Linked DNA regions of Astyanax mexicanus. The protein of the gene in region 2 interacts with the protein of the main gene of each other region in a biochemical or structural test. Links are inferred from orthologs where the notes say so. Each region holds a gene or a part of one and is shown on either strand. Other genes may lie near its edges. The genes, in order: tjp3 and patj.

The links.
Region 1: the proteins of patj (region 2) and tjp3 form a complex in vitro, tested with the Homo sapiens proteins (2 studies listed by BioGRID and IntAct, with this or other methods). The link is inferred for Astyanax mexicanus from reciprocal best matches to the Homo sapiens genes PATJ and TJP3.

Annotation. Positions count from the first base shown.
Region 1 is NC_064423.1:14,629,675-14,637,242, reverse strand, and holds the start of tjp3 (tight junction protein ZO-3), read right to left. Parts: upstream 3,048-7,568; 5' UTR 2,829-3,047; coding exon 2,805-2,828; intron 1-2,804. UniProt on the Homo sapiens protein: TJP1, TJP2, and TJP3 are closely related scaffolding proteins that link tight junction (TJ) transmembrane proteins such as claudins, junctional adhesion molecules, and occludin to the actin cytoskeleton.
Region 2 is NC_064423.1:15,520,873-15,529,048, forward strand, and holds the start of patj (inaD-like protein), read left to right. Parts: upstream 1-5,044; 5' UTR 5,045-5,315; intron 5,316-5,665; 5' UTR 5,666-5,702; intron 5,703-5,791; 5' UTR 5,792-5,847; intron 5,848-7,381; 5' UTR 7,382-7,424; coding exon 7,425-7,446; intron 7,447-7,943; coding exon 7,944-8,122; intron 8,123-8,176.

The DNA.
Region 1 (7,568 bases), about 890 kb from region 2:
AGCAAACCCCCTGGCCTTTTTTCTCCTCCTCGATCTGAGCATGAACATCAGACCAGCTGTTTGTTCCCCACTCGAGCTTAAGATGCTCCACATATGAGCTGCTAACATATTAATGTAATCTTTATAAAGCTTCGTTGTTGGTGAAGACGACGACGTTTACACACGTATCAATGTGCGCATTTGAGGCGTTTCTGGGACAGATTCTTTCACATTACACACAGATACAGCTCACTTACATTTGTGAAAGTGAACCATCAAGATCTGATCTGAGCAAAAAATTGGATTTGAGCAAAGTGCCTTGTAAAGTGAATGTAGCCAATAGGGACAGGGTCACAGGCACCCAAAGGCTCACTGATGTTTTTGAGACCCCACCTTATAACACCTCACAAATGTGATGCAAGTTTTAGTGGCTCCATGGGAACGTACACAATATTAAGCAGGTGGTTTTATATGGCTGGTAGTCAAACGCATAGTGAAAACATAAATCAAAGCTTTGAGTAAATATCATGTGTGTTTTAAACTCACACAAAGCCAATCCAAAGCTGGGGAACAAACTGCAGTCGCCAAGCTGGAATTTAACACCAGGTTACAGTTTAACTATTAATCTCTTTAAAAGGTAAACATCATGCTCGACTAGTTTCACAGTCTAGCCTCTGGTGTAAGTGTGTTCGGGGTCAAGGCCTGTTTTATAAATGTACAGAGTTCAGTGCTGTGGTGATTAACCATGTGCTACAGAGCTTAGGCTGGAAAACAGTAGAGTAGTCTAAGGATGAGTAACAACTACACAGAAACCACATGACCATGAAATCATATATGTGGGCATGTGTCTGTTGTTTTAATGTGATTAATGCTACGAATACAGACTTGCTGTTTGGCCACGTGTTTGAATAGGCAACCAGCTGCTTTGTGAACATAACGGTTCACAATAGGGCTGTGTCATATTGCATCATATGCAATAATATAATTATTTATTAAACAATTCAAAGAAAATGCATATCTGGATAATTCTGTCTCAAAACTTTTCTATATAAATAATATACAAGGCCAAAAGTAGGACACCCTTCTATTTCAAAAACAAAATATGGCGTCTTTCAATATGGTGATTACAAGGGGTGTGCCATATCGTATTGTAAGCAATATTATCGGCAAAAATTCTAACATAATAAAAAACTCCATATCGTGATATTGTGGTATTATTAAAAATGTTTATATTGCTGCAGTAGTATATTCTTAAAAAAACATTTTGACATAATAAAAAAAAAAAACGTAAAATACTGTGATATTATTTTAGGGGCCATAGTGGCCACAATCAGAACATAGCCTAGCCATATCTGGGACATTACAGCAGCAGAATACTAACACCCCCTCCCCCTCCACCATCCGGCAGGTTTAAGTTCATTTTTACTTGCATAAATTCAATTAAAAAATAATTATTTTCACAACTGTTTTTTTCTATCTGAAATGCACAAGCTACACAGGGTTACCTCAGCAAACATTTGCATCTGTTTGTTTTTGGGAATAAGTTTCACTTGCAAGTAACTTGAGTAGCACTGCTGAGGTACATTTATGACTAAAACTATGATTAGAATAGCAATGCTTAGATACATATCCAGCTCATTGTGTGACTAGAATAGCAATGCTTCAAAATGAATTCATGACTAAAGTAGCACTGCTGAGGTAAATATGTTGTACTTTGTCTGCTGAGATTTTTTATTTATTTAAACAAAACAAAATACATTCAGGCTATAAAGTTTATTTAAAAAGTGGGGCATTTCTATGTTCTGTATTAGGTAATATGTTTCATTTTGTTCAATGTTTCACTCTTTTTCATTTCTGTGCATCTCTAAATAAAGCTAAAATGCTGTTTCTTTGTTGACATCAAAAAGCTACATTTATTAAAAATCCTGAAACAATTCTAGAAGAATGTCTAAATATTTTTTAACTTTTAAAGAATGCATTAAGCTAAACATAATTACTGACACAAATGTGCAAATGCAAACACATTTTGTTCAATCCCTGTAGTAAAGTACTGCCAATTAGAGCTGGGCGATGTGACCTCTAATCAATATCGAGATTATTTGAACATTTAACTCTAATTACAATTACTAAATGATTGTATAAGCTGCTCGAGATGCTCAGTTTGCTCGGCCTGTGTTGGATTTCTCCTTGGGTTGCTGTCACAGACAGGTCAGGGCTGAGTCACGTGACTATGTTTTTCCATTTACATGAATAAGTGTAGTAATTTAAAATGTAAAAAAAAAATAATAATGAGCAAAAGTATTTTGGTTATAGGTTTTGAATGAGTGTTGATTAATTAAATTTCAAATTATTGCCCAGCCATCCTGGCATGTTTTTTCGGCTTGGACCTACTGGCACCTACTGGCACCTAAAGCTCTATTTAGAATTGTTAGGATGAGTTGGGAAAGAGGTGGGGTGGTGATGTTTCAACAACCTGAACACACTTAAGCTCTTTTCTTTGTCACTGAATGCAATCAAATCCTTACAGCAATGCTTCAAAATCTAGTAGAAATATTTTCCTTCTCTGTACAGTAGCGACAGTAACACAAACAAATAGGTAAACTAGATAAACTATTAATTATTTTCCTTTAATTTACAGATTTCAGAAGGAACAATAAATGAGCAGGTGTCCCAATACTCTAGGGAATATACATTGTACAACAAGGCGCAGTGTTTCTTTCCAGTTAGTATTAAAATAATACCCAAACAACAACTACCGCAGCAACAAAACAGATACTATAATAACATTAATAAATAAAACTTGTGGATTAGTTCTGTGTACTCACCAGATCTCTGAACCTCACCTCCATTATCTCTCTCTCTCTCTCCACGCTACACTCCTAGAGAAACACCTGTGACCTCTGCGACTACGCCCTCAGGCAGCTAACGGTCACCTCCACCGCCGACCACCACGGCTCTCTCTGGGAAACCACATTTTTCCCACCAGCAAAAGCAAAGATTAGCTGGATTCTTTCCACAGGAAACCCACAGGAAACAACACAAACCCTATCAGAGAACAAGTCCGTGAAAAACACCTTGCACACAAAGCACCTGAGTCAATGGAAAGCCCCACCCACAAGCCTTCCCAGCCACGAGATACCTTCTATTACTAGCTTTGTCGAGGCTTTAAGGTGGAGCTTCTCAGTCTGCATTGTTTTCTGCTCCAGTGAGGCAGAACCACCTTAGGAGGCTCGAATTTTAAGAGGGATCCAGCTGGAGGCACGATGAGTTAAACCAACATCCTGCCAACCGGTTCGGCTGGGATACAAAAACAAACAAACAAACAAACAAACAAACAAACAAACAAACAAACAAACAAACAAACAAACAAACACTCTCTCAGTAAATCTTGGAGTGGGAACAGAGGGCTGCAGTCCAGCAGGAGTTTAGTGATGTCCCTGATCTAACGTACTTTACACCTTCCTATAAACATGGCAGCTAAATTAGGTGCGCAGGTCGAGAAGGAAAACCACAAAAAAGTGCACGGTAAACACTGCATTACAGGAACAGTACAGGAAAAGCAGGGTGTTTTTCTCTTTGTTCTAGTCATTTGACACAGCATGTAAATACAGTTAATTAAAACCGTGAACAAATACAGTACTTCTCTTTGCCACAAACTCAAAACATGTTTTATGTCACTTTAAGTAGCACTACTGAGGTAAATGTGTATTTAAAGTTACCGAAAATAATAATGCAATTACTTGGCCTGTTAGAATAACTATGCTTTATTAGACAGTACATTGTCTTAGAAATAATTCTAATCAACAAGATTATCTTCGTTTTACATTCTTATGTTTTATGACCATGGGGCAAGGGATACAAGATCATCCAGGCAAGTAAGCGATAAAACCATGCAGTTTCTCTGATTTAAAGAGGAATTAGCTTTTAATTAATATTGATTTCCAGACAAGGAACTTGAAAGAAAACATGTTTAAATATGCTAAACAAATAAAACAAATAAAAATATGTTAAAAAGTGTCATTAATGGGCTCTCATTACTAACAAAAGGATAGTGGGCAGTTTTAATCATAGAAATAATGTCACGATAAGTGAATAATGTAATTATACTGACATACCTAATAACCAGAGATGGATTCAGCAGCAACTTTAAGTCAGTAGTTTTATTATTGCTATTGTTATTATTAATAATTTATACTAATTACAACCTAGCTGTAAGATGTCTAGTCTACTGGTCTACTTTTGGGTTAAAGGTTGTGGATCAGATCATACGCGGCCACAGAAACTGAGCTGTTTGCTGCAGGAGATTATTAATGTTGTCTAATAGTGAGTGAGTGGGAGAGTAGAGTATCCTCTTGGGAGTAGAGGAAGGGAATAAGCCTTATATCTAATCCCAGATGTTTGGTGCATGATTTTTTATCTTTCTGTATAATATTACCTACAGTTACGTTTGCATGCATATGAACGTCAGTGTCAGCCCATGTTTAATCTAAAGGGTTTAATATGATGTCAACCCACGCTTTTGCACATGGGTCATCCTATCACAATGCCATGCTGGCATTCACTGAGCTTCTTTCACCAATGTTTGTAGAAGCACACTACATGCCTGGCTGCTTGCTTGTATACACCTATGGCCATATAAGTGATCGCAAAACTGGAATTCAATGATTTAAATGGGCAAGTGAATACCTTTTGCAATAGCGTTTAGTGTATATCTAATAGAAGTCTGTAGCTATGAATCCCAAACTAAAGCCATATTGAAAACACTTAGTAAGCCAAATGAAAGGCTGTAGTTCTGCAGCTCACATGCCATAAACTGTACTATAAACTACCAAAGAGTACCAAAGATTAACCAATATAGAGTGATTAAACTTCAGCTTCTGTAGGTTCAGCTTTCAATAGTTACTTTACAGAAATTAAATACAGAAATATTCATACTTGCTCAGTCTCACAAAAAATATCCTGCATCATACGTCACTCTCCAGGTTTCTATTAACAATACCAAAAACATAAAAAAATTCTGTTTCTTGTTTTAGGTTTAATTCTATGTCAAAATGCTGAGTGTAATGCTATGGTGCACTGAGAAATCTCACTGAAAGCATATATGACATGAAGCATCTGCATGTTTCCGTGTGTCATGTTCCCACCAGTTTCTGTTATTTTAAAATAAGTGTTTTGCTGTTTTGTAATGATCTTTCACTAAATTTGAAAAGAACTGTGGGAATAATTGTACATTGGTTGACCACCACTGTGTTTTGTAAACAGTGCTTACAACACTATTTAGGCTCTCATTAACTGTGCTGCATCATGCCTTGTAAAGAAAGATGTCTCTAGGCTAAAACACCTCTAATCACTCTAGTTTGTGGAGGTAGATTCAACCTGTTAAACTAACAAACAAACAGTACAGAGTGGGCGGAGTAAAACTGGCAAATAAACAGCATTAAGGGAGAGGGACAAAACTGCTGAATAAATAACATGAAGTTTATTAGTCCAAAATACTGAATAAACAGTTCTAAGTAGGCGGGGCCAGACTGCTGTACTGGCTAAAGGTAAAAAATAAATGTTCATTTTTGTTAAATTTCTATTGGCCATAAATGAATTTAACGTTCAACTTTTTTGCCTTTATTGTCACATGCTCACGAGTACCAGTGAAATTAGCCATCAACCTGTCTGTACCAGACAGCAAAAAAAGAGGGGGAGACAGGACAGAAAGACAGGGCTGATGTAATTCTGGTTTGTACAACAAATCAGAATATGTTTTATACCACTTTTCGCATTTGAGGACAGATCTGCACACTCTTGATATTTTAATCTTAGTGTCTTCATGAGGTCGAGTCACCTGAACTGTAGTTGCTGCTTTTCCTACAGACTGTGAAGCTCCAGCTCATCCCAAATCACCTCAAATCACCATATCAGTTAATAAGGTTTAGATCAGAGGATTGTGGAGAACAAACACTTTTTTTTGTTTAATATACCCTTAATTGCTTGATGTTTTTAATATTGATTGACAATATTGAAAATAAATTAAATAAAGAAATGAAGTAAAACATTAAATGAGAATCTTTTGACTGGTACTGTAACAGTATATAAACATGAGAGCATGGTGTTAGAAATGACAACAAAAGCTTTACAAAAATACCACAGCATTTCTACAACCTCCCCAGCAACAACTGGCCTCACTGTAAATGCATGGTGCCCTGGTTACACAGGGAATCATTACCCCACTTGGTTAATGATTGATAAAGCACAGCATTTTGTAGCTGGCCTAGAAAAGGGCTATGGTATGTTGTGCACTAAAGTTTCAGGATCAGGAAGCAGCGGGCTGTTTGTAATCGTGCATACCATCAGATCCTGGAAAAACGGGATCGTCTACGAAAGCTGGTCTTTCACATGACTTACTTTTGGCTGCAGTCCCTCAGTTCAGACTGAGCTTTAAATGCTGTTGGGAAAGCATTTCATGTCACTGTATTTAAATATCAAATATATCCTGTTACTAATGAAGCACTGTTCGTTTTCTGTGAGCCAGTGCAGGTGTAAGAAACCTGGCAGCAGGCCAGCAGGTAAATCAGTAACTGAGCTTTTGGTAGTTGCTGGAAATGTACCTTGAGTTGGTATTAGATTCACATGCTGTAGAGCGACGATAAACACAATGCCGAACACGCTGCCGGACACACTGCTGTGTGTTAAGGTGTGTCTGCTCACCAGTAACTGTAAACACCTTCACCTGCAGAACTGCTGATTGCTCCCTGGGCACAGGCAGGCTGTTTACTCAAGCTCCATCTACTGTTACTCACGCTCAGCCATGTGTCAAGCAAATGTATCCAGCAGGATGGATACAATTCACTGATCTCTACATTCCTCGTGTAAATCGATCAAGCATAACATTATGACTACCTCTTTGTTTTTAACACCCATTTTTCCATTTTTTTTTAGCTCCACTAAGCTTATAGAAGCACTTGGTTGTTCTATAATTACAGCCTGTAGTCCTTCTGTTTCTCTGCATACTTTATTATTCCCTTTTCCCCCTGTTCTTCAATGGTCAGAACCCGAAAGGAAGTCCTCTGCAATGCATGGACACTGGCATGGCAGTGGTGCGTTAGTGTGTGTTGTGATAGTATGAGTGAATCACACACAGCAATGTTGCTGGAGTTTTTAAACACATCAGTGTCACCGCCAATGCAATCTGTGCAGCAAAAGATGAACTTCTATGAGTCTTCTGCCTCATAAAAGCTACAAACACATCCACAGCACAACAGCAAAACTACTTCTGCTTTATTTTACCAACACTACTTTACCAGATAAACAGGGGGATTAACCAGGTAGGAGAGTAACCAATCATACCAAAAAGTTTTGTTCCAGAGAATACAGTTCCACTGCCGCACAGCTCATTCCGAGGCCAGGGGTTTATGTCTCTCTAGTCCACACCTGGCATTAAACTTAATGGTGTTTAATAGCTTTATGTTTATTTTGTTGCTCCAGAGAGTGCAATTCTATTAGCAGTTCTTCTCTACAGATACAAGCTCTTTGTGTGCATTTGCATATCTGTGTCAGCATTGGGTGCAACTTCACACTTTCAGGAGGTTAGATGCTAA
Region 2 (8,176 bases):
GTGGCCCGCGGGACCATTGTGTGTAAAATGTCTTCAAAACGAGAACATGAGCCAAAACGGCGTGACGTTCCCAAAATGTGTCATTGTTTGCAATAATGATGTGTTAACTTATTACTGTGAATGGGGAAGGAAAAAAAAAAAAAAAGTCACAATTTTCCATTTTTCAATGGCATCCATTTGGATACACACAGAAAAACTGGTGAGTTTATGCCATTAGGGATCTGAAAGAATTGCAATTAATTAATCCTCCCACATCTAGTAATTTAAACATAATTACTGTTAATCGCCAGTAATAGTGCTGATAATTGGTCACTGAAGGGCTTAAGCGTGTTGATTCCAGCACTGATATCAAAAGAGCTGCCTGCGGAGAGCCTGTTCAGCCCTGCCAGGCAGGGTCTTTAGAGCTGAATGGCGCAGTAGCTTGAAGGTCAGTCCAGACCAGGTGCAGATCTCGGAGAGAACGCCTGCAGGACTGGCTCAGGCTCTGCATGGGCTTGCCTTTCACCTGCTCCGCTCAAACACTCAAAAAAAAACACACAAAAAAAAGAGCCCAAGAAGAAGGAAAAAGGAAAGCCTTCATCCGCCAGAGTCTTTTGTATGTCTGCAGGTGCTTAATTGATAAGAATGGCCTTAAAACATGGAGAGAAGGAGAAAAGGAGCTCCTCACGCCACATCCTGCTTCACTCTGGAGTTTATGTATAAAGAACTAGCTCCTCCAGGTGAGATAATGTTAGCAGTGTTTATTTTCTCACATGCCAGTTCCCCTCGGCTCTATTCAGTTTTTGGAGATTTGAAGAGAAGAAACACAGACTTCAGGAAATTAGCGAACTCTCACTTGTACAGTTTGTTAACAGATAAAAAGAAAAGAAGAGTTAAGCATGAAAATTATCAGAGGCTGTTTACAGACTTTAAAAAGTCCAGCCCAAAGTCTGAACTAATGGATAATGTGTTTTTTAATACTGTAAAGATTTTGGTCCGGTTAGTTTTGGTTTCACAATGCAGTTTACTAGTAATTGGTATTACTATTAAATCAATAAAAATCAATTTGACAAGTTGCCTTTCCAGATGTTGTGCCAAATCTAACTCTCTTTGAGTGTATGCAAGCTAGCAGAATGAGCACTACAGACCACTCACAAATATACTTTATTTCTGTTTATACATAAAGGTTTAAACTACAGCTATTGTAGATACAGGAATCACCATCAGTGTAATGCTGTCCCTACATATACAGTATAATAATAAAGATGCCATTGGATAGAGCCGAACATGAGGGTTGAGCTGGCCTTGCCCATAAGTAAAAGGTACTTTTTTTATAGTTGCGTATATGGATGACTGATATCATATGGTTGAAAGACTGGAGCAAAAAATAAATAAATAAATAAATAAATAAATAAAAATTATATATATATATATATATATATATATATATATATATATATATATATATATATATATATATATATATATATATATATGGCAAATAAAATCTGCCTCTGGAAGAGAAATCATGGACAATATGCCCACAATGCTTTGATAAGCTAAAAGAAAATATTGTGCATGTCGGTAACATTCTATTCTACAATTTGTTACACTTGATAATTAACAGTTTACTACCAACACATTTAGGAGGACTTACCGAGAGCTGGATAACCCAAATAGAAGCGGTCTGCACCGAGCCATCCCAGGAACAGTGACAAAGCCACAGCTACTTTGTAAGAATAAACACTCCTAGTCAAACAAAAAACAAAACAAAACATTATCACAAAATATTAACCCCAATGAAATCAAATTCTTTTAGATTAGTATTTACTATAGACATTTAGAGGGAAGAAACTCACACATTACGACATGGAACACTTTTATTAAATCCAACCTCATCGCCACTGAATTTGTACTTGGTCCCATTAGGCAGCAAACAGCTGATGTTTGGTGCAGGAAGACACTCCACTGAAAAAAATAACATAGCATATTAGCTACTAGGGCTGGGCATTATGGATCAAAACTAATATCTGATTTTTTTTTTTAATCCCATAAGGTAATAACAAAAAGACACTTCCAAGACAAAGCTACATGCTCCAGATTTTACACAGGCAGTTTTATTATCCTGTGTCATATCCTGTATATTAGAACGTATTAGTGCTTAAAGGGAATTTAAATTACACTAATTATAAACAAGATTCTTCAAATAAAATGTTTGTTTCTTTTTTCATTTAAAGTACCTTAAAAACAACATCAAAGTGTGATTTTGGTAAAAGAGTCTTAAAGTGCTTAAATAAGTCATTTAAAAAGTGCAATTTGAGTTTTCTTTAAATCTGGGCAGAAACAGTGACAGGTCTATTCCTATACCTGTGTGTAGGAGCTGATTGGTCAGTTCAGGTTAGAGTGGGCATGACAGCTCTGAAGATAAGTGTTTAGTTTTTGTAGTGACGCAGGTTTTGAACTGCCTGTGTTTCTCTGAAATGTCGAGTTCTGTTGTCACTATGTGTTTTATATAAAATGCTCTGAATGGGCTCCTGTGTGCACCACATTTTATTTAGGAAGCGCGGGATTGGTCTGTAATTTTCCTGCACCCTGAAGCCTCCACTGAACGGTTCTGCTGCTTAAAATAAATTTGGGGCAATGTCTGGGTGCGGGAGAACTGACAGAGCTAACTGGAATGCAGTATAGACTTTATTAATACAAACCATACTGTTTGATCTCGTATGAACATATATTTTTATAAATCTATTTTGCCCAGCTCTATTATGGACAGATTTGACAACTGGCACACTGCTCTATACTCTTAAGTCAACAACAAAAAAAGCATAGTGACAGATGCATTTTTAATGATCATCAGTTATCATATGAGCTCACCCCATGCTATTAGATCCTTGCAGTTCTCTGGTTCTTGAGTTGCATCATTTATTATAGGACTTTTGCAGATATACCTGAATATTGTCAAGGAGAAACACAGACTGGTCCTGTTACAGACAATACTTTCAGCACTAGAGCATACAGTTTTAAGGTTTGCTGTTTTATCACATCTTTTTTGATTATACTATATTGCACTCTAAAGGATCTTGAAGTTTAGTTTAAATGTTCAAAAAGTTGTTTATTAATAAATATCAATTAAAATGGATATACAAAAAATAATATATCTTTCTAGCTCTCTGTATATTTATCAATTAGCTATGCTGATGAGCACTTCTCTTTTCTCTTCTTTATCGTACTGATATTTTCTTAATTATTAAAAAACTTCATATAAATATCAGGCAAAGATAACCTGAGTAAAAATAAAAAACACTTTTTAAATGATAATTTCATTTATTAAGAGGGAAAAAAAAGTTTGTGTTTGCCCCATATTCTGAAACAGGTCTGGGCTCTTATGTTTTGATATTATTTTTACTACTACTATAATGATTATTATTATTATTACTACTACTATAAAAAAATATTACTTCAAACAATAGACTGCATGCTTACAATTAGAATTGTGTATAGGGCTGTAACAATAAATATTTTATCAACTTATTATGCAATAAATTGACATAACTTCTATAATGTTTTACTCACTTTGACATTATATGAAGACCCATTAGAATGAACAAGCAGGGATGTAATTTTTTTTTTTTAATAATATGTTTTTTATTTTATTTAGATATTTAGGACATTCTATATTACAATTCCAGTGTATGGATATTTTTTTGTTTAAAATGTTCTCTTAAACAATGTGTACAATAACGTGTATTATGATATAATATGTCTTCAGAATGGGGGGCAGATCGTGCAGCAATTTAATATTATGATTCATTCTTAATTCCACTTTAAAGGGGAGCTAAAATTAGCTTTTATTTATATATATATATATATATATATATATATATATATATATATATATATATATATATATATATATATATATATATATCTATATATATATTCCATTCTATCTTAAATGCTGCAGCCGCTGAATCTGTTGCACTACAATCTATGACTAGGCTTTACCCTTGATTGAGAATATACACCTGAATGGAGGCATACAAATAGAACTAAATTCTTACCCAATAAACCCTCCCAAAGTGTTTGCACATAAGGATGCAGACATATAAGTTATGTTATATTTAAATTGCTAACTAACTTCTAGATTTAGCTACTGGTTTGTTTGTTCATGCTACCTTTGTTTGACAGCACAGAACGCATTAGCCTGGCTAGGTCAGCTAACGCTAGCTAGCTAACATTTTAATTAACAAATTTGCATTAACAATTTTTTTTGCCAGTATAGAACCCATTGGCTGGGTTAAGTCAGTACAGCTAGCTACATAACCTAACAGAGAAAACACACATTCTAACTTAACTTAGCTAACATTTAATTTAACAAATTAGCATTAAGAATTTTTTTTTTAGCAGCACATAACCCATCAATTTTCTAGGTTAGGTCAGCTAACGGTAGCTACATAACAGAGATAACACACATTTAAACCTAGCTTTAACATTTTATTTTACAAATAACTAAATTCCAGAACTGATTTGGCAGCACAGAACCTACTAGCAGGGTTAAATTAGCTAAGGCTAGCTGGCTACAAAACAGAGAAAACAAACTTTGCAAGGTTAATATTTTATCTATCAAATAAAGTACATTTCAGGCTTTGTTTAATAGCAAATACCCAAATACACGCTAGGTCAGCAAAACAGAACCCTACCTACGTTATTATTGTGTTGACAACTAACCTAGCTAGGTTATATCCATCTAGCTAGGCTAGGCTAAGCTAAGCTAAGCTAAACCGGATAGCTAGCCTGTTTCTGCAGCGGAGAAAACACACAAATCCTCCACTCAAACAGCGGAAAAAAGGATACTGTCCGGGGCGGAGATGTTCACAGCTATCCACCTGCTCAGTAACGCTGTGAATTAAAGTCCAGCAGGAGGAGAAAAGCACAAACACGAGCTGTTTCCACCAGCAACAAAACAGCCCGCTGCTGGGTGAAGCCATGTTGGAGGCGGCGGTGGTCACGTGACCCGGAGAGATTTTTTTTTAAAGAGACAAAAAAAAATCAGCGAAAGGAAAATGCAGTTGTTTAACCCTCTAAAGTTCTAGTATTTTTATTTGCACTTTAAATGGTTTATTTAGACAGAGCAGTCGCCTTATTTAGTTAAAAATGAATAAAAACTAAAGAAACAAACCTTTACGCTGATGAAGTTGAGTGTGAGGGGAGTAGTTAACGCCAGCTAAACTTCACCACCCGTTTAGCACAGCTAGTGGAGCTAGCCAGCCTGCCAAACTTACTAAATAACATGTTAAACAGCAGTTTAAAGCCTTGACGCGAGAAACAAACTCCAGGTTAGTGGGTTAATATAGTTAATATACATTTTCAGCTTGGTTGCTGTGTGATAAACTGGTTATTTCTGCGTTTACCGGCGTGTAAAACGTGTTAGAGACTAATGCACCTGTTGTACTGTTGTGTGTTGTGTACATTAGCTAAGCTAGCTATTTGTGGAGAAAGCGTTTAACCGTTAGCTGTTTTGTATTAATCCAACATTATTGACCAAATGCACTACTTATTAAGTAACGTTAACGCTTCGCCCCGATCATGTAGGTCTTGTTTATTGTGTTTAATGTAGTTAAACAGTCTTTTTCTGGGTATGTGAGCTTCTCTCTGTTACTTAACTCTACCTGCTTCCTGTTTTCAGGTGAGGCAGCGCAGCTCCTCTCACTTCCGTCAGACAGGTGAGCTCGGGCGGATGAAAACAAGTGAAATCTCAGCTGAAAGAAGCTCAGCGTTTTAACTACAATACTGTTTTGGACTTTATTTACAGGAACCTCCAGCTTGTTTTAAAGCTATAACTGAAGAACTTCGGCGCTTAAAACCTCGGTAAGTAGTCAGAGTTCGTCTTGTTTTACTTAGTTTAAACACAGCTGCTGTGGCTAATGTGTTATTTAACCGCTAACTAACTTAGCTAACCTGGGTTAGCTCACCGAAACTGAGCTGTCTGTTATGATATAGGAAGTCTCCTAGGTGTTAAGAATCGACATTTCTTCCTGAATAACTGTTTTCTCTCATTGTTACTAACCTTTATTGGTGTTAGTGTAGTGTTGAGGTGAGTCAATGAGATATATATTCTTGAATATATTCATATTAATCTCAAAATTAGCCGAATAACTATTTTATCAGCCAAACATCTGACTACAGAGATGACCAGCATGTTTTAACCAGTTGTTTGGGTGGTTTAGCTAATTAGCTAGGTTAGCTAATATTATTTTTTGGACCTTTGTATCAACGTGTTTAACCCATAATTTCTAAATATTGATACCATGCGTAAAATCTAATCCGATCAATCTAATCAGATATATTCAGTGAGCAGCTTATTAATGTTTTTTTGTTATTATTGTGGGCACATACCGAGCCCCTAAGGTGACATCATATTAAAATAAAAATACTTTGTGGCCACAGCTTATTAAGGTGTGGGAATGAGATCCTGAATCTTGGCTATGACTTATTAAGGCGTGGAAATGAGATCGTGAGGCACGGACACAACTTATTAAGGCGTGGGAATGAGATTCTGAGGCATGGACACAACTTATTAACGCATGGGAACGAGATTCTAATGTGTGTGATTATTATTAAGATTATTAAGGCGTTGACACAACTTATTAGGCATGGTAATGAGCTCCTAATGCATGATCACAACTTATTAAGGCATGGAAATTAGATATTAAGGAGGGGGTACGAGATCCTAGGGTGTGACCGCAACCTATTAAGGTGGGGGAATGAGATCTTAGTGCGTGGGAACAAAGTAATTAGGGTGTTGCCAGGACTTATTAAGGTATGGGAATGAGATCCTAAGGCATGGCCATGACTGATTAAGGAATAGGAATGAGATTCTAAGGAGTGGTCACGACTTATTAGGGCGTAGAAATGAGATATGTTCGAATTGTGTTAAAAGGAAATAATTAAGGCGTGACCACAACTTGTTAAGGCCTGGAAATGAGTTCATTAAGATGTGGCCATAACCTCTTAAGGTGTGGGAAACAGATAATTAAAGCATATATAATAAATTAATTAAATCAAGGCCATTAAGGCGTGGCCACAAGGTCCTTTTGTTTCACAGCTAACAAAGCAAGCAGCTCTCCGGGGTTGTGTACAATATGACTCTCTAAGGAAGGTAAATGGATCTGCATAAATCTTGATTTGTGTTTATCTTTGTCACTCATCTCCTGTTACCTGTTGCAGTGTTGTGGTACACAGGAATTCTGATTTACCCCGCAATATCTGTTTGCTGTTTTTAATATTGTGGTAGATCTACCAAACAAACCTTTGACTTTAAACATGTTTAAAAATTCATATATAGGTACAGCCGGATGAAGAAAGGGTTGTTAATGTTGTTTTTCTGTGTTTGTCCTGACAGATTTATTTACATCCCTCTACATTAGGCTCTCCGGGGAGGAGCAATGTATGAAAATGTGCCAACAGGTAAAAGGATTATGCCACATTTTAGTGATACCTAATTAACAGTATAATAAATGCAAACATAGTTTGAGCACACTTGGCTAAACCGATTGTTGATAATTCTTAAACAAATGTATGTTTTTTTTATTTGCCTTTCTTACTAGCATATGAGCAGAACTTGAAGATGTCACCTTAATAGTCTGCACTTTAGAACGTTCAAGCTTAAAACAATTGTCTTTTGTTTGTTTTTTAGAGCATGTATAAAATCATAAAACCTGTTCCAAATTTTGCACAGGCTATATTGATATCTTAAATGTATTGTTTTGTTGATTTATTATGAAAGGCAGACTAGCTGTATATATTTCTCTGATCAATTTTAATATCAATTTTATGTTAAAACAAAAGATTGCAAAAGATTTCCTTAATGCTGTTTAAATTTTACAGTAGTAAAGTCATTATTTCATAATTGTACTTAAATCATAACTCTGTGTCTTTTTATCTCTGTGTCTGTGTGTGTTCAGTATCTGCAACCGAGCGGCAGCAGGTGCTTCAGGCCTTGGAGAGGCTGCAGTCGAAGCTGGTGCAGCGTGAGGAATGGACTCATAGTGAGCGTCTGGGAGCGCTGAAGGAAGCACTGCAGAGCCCGCTTCTCGGCCATATATTAACCCTGCAGCACTCTGTCAAACAGCTCCGAGACCAGGTCAGGCTTGGCTCAGCATAACAACTCCACACTGGAGGGGAGGGGTGTACAATA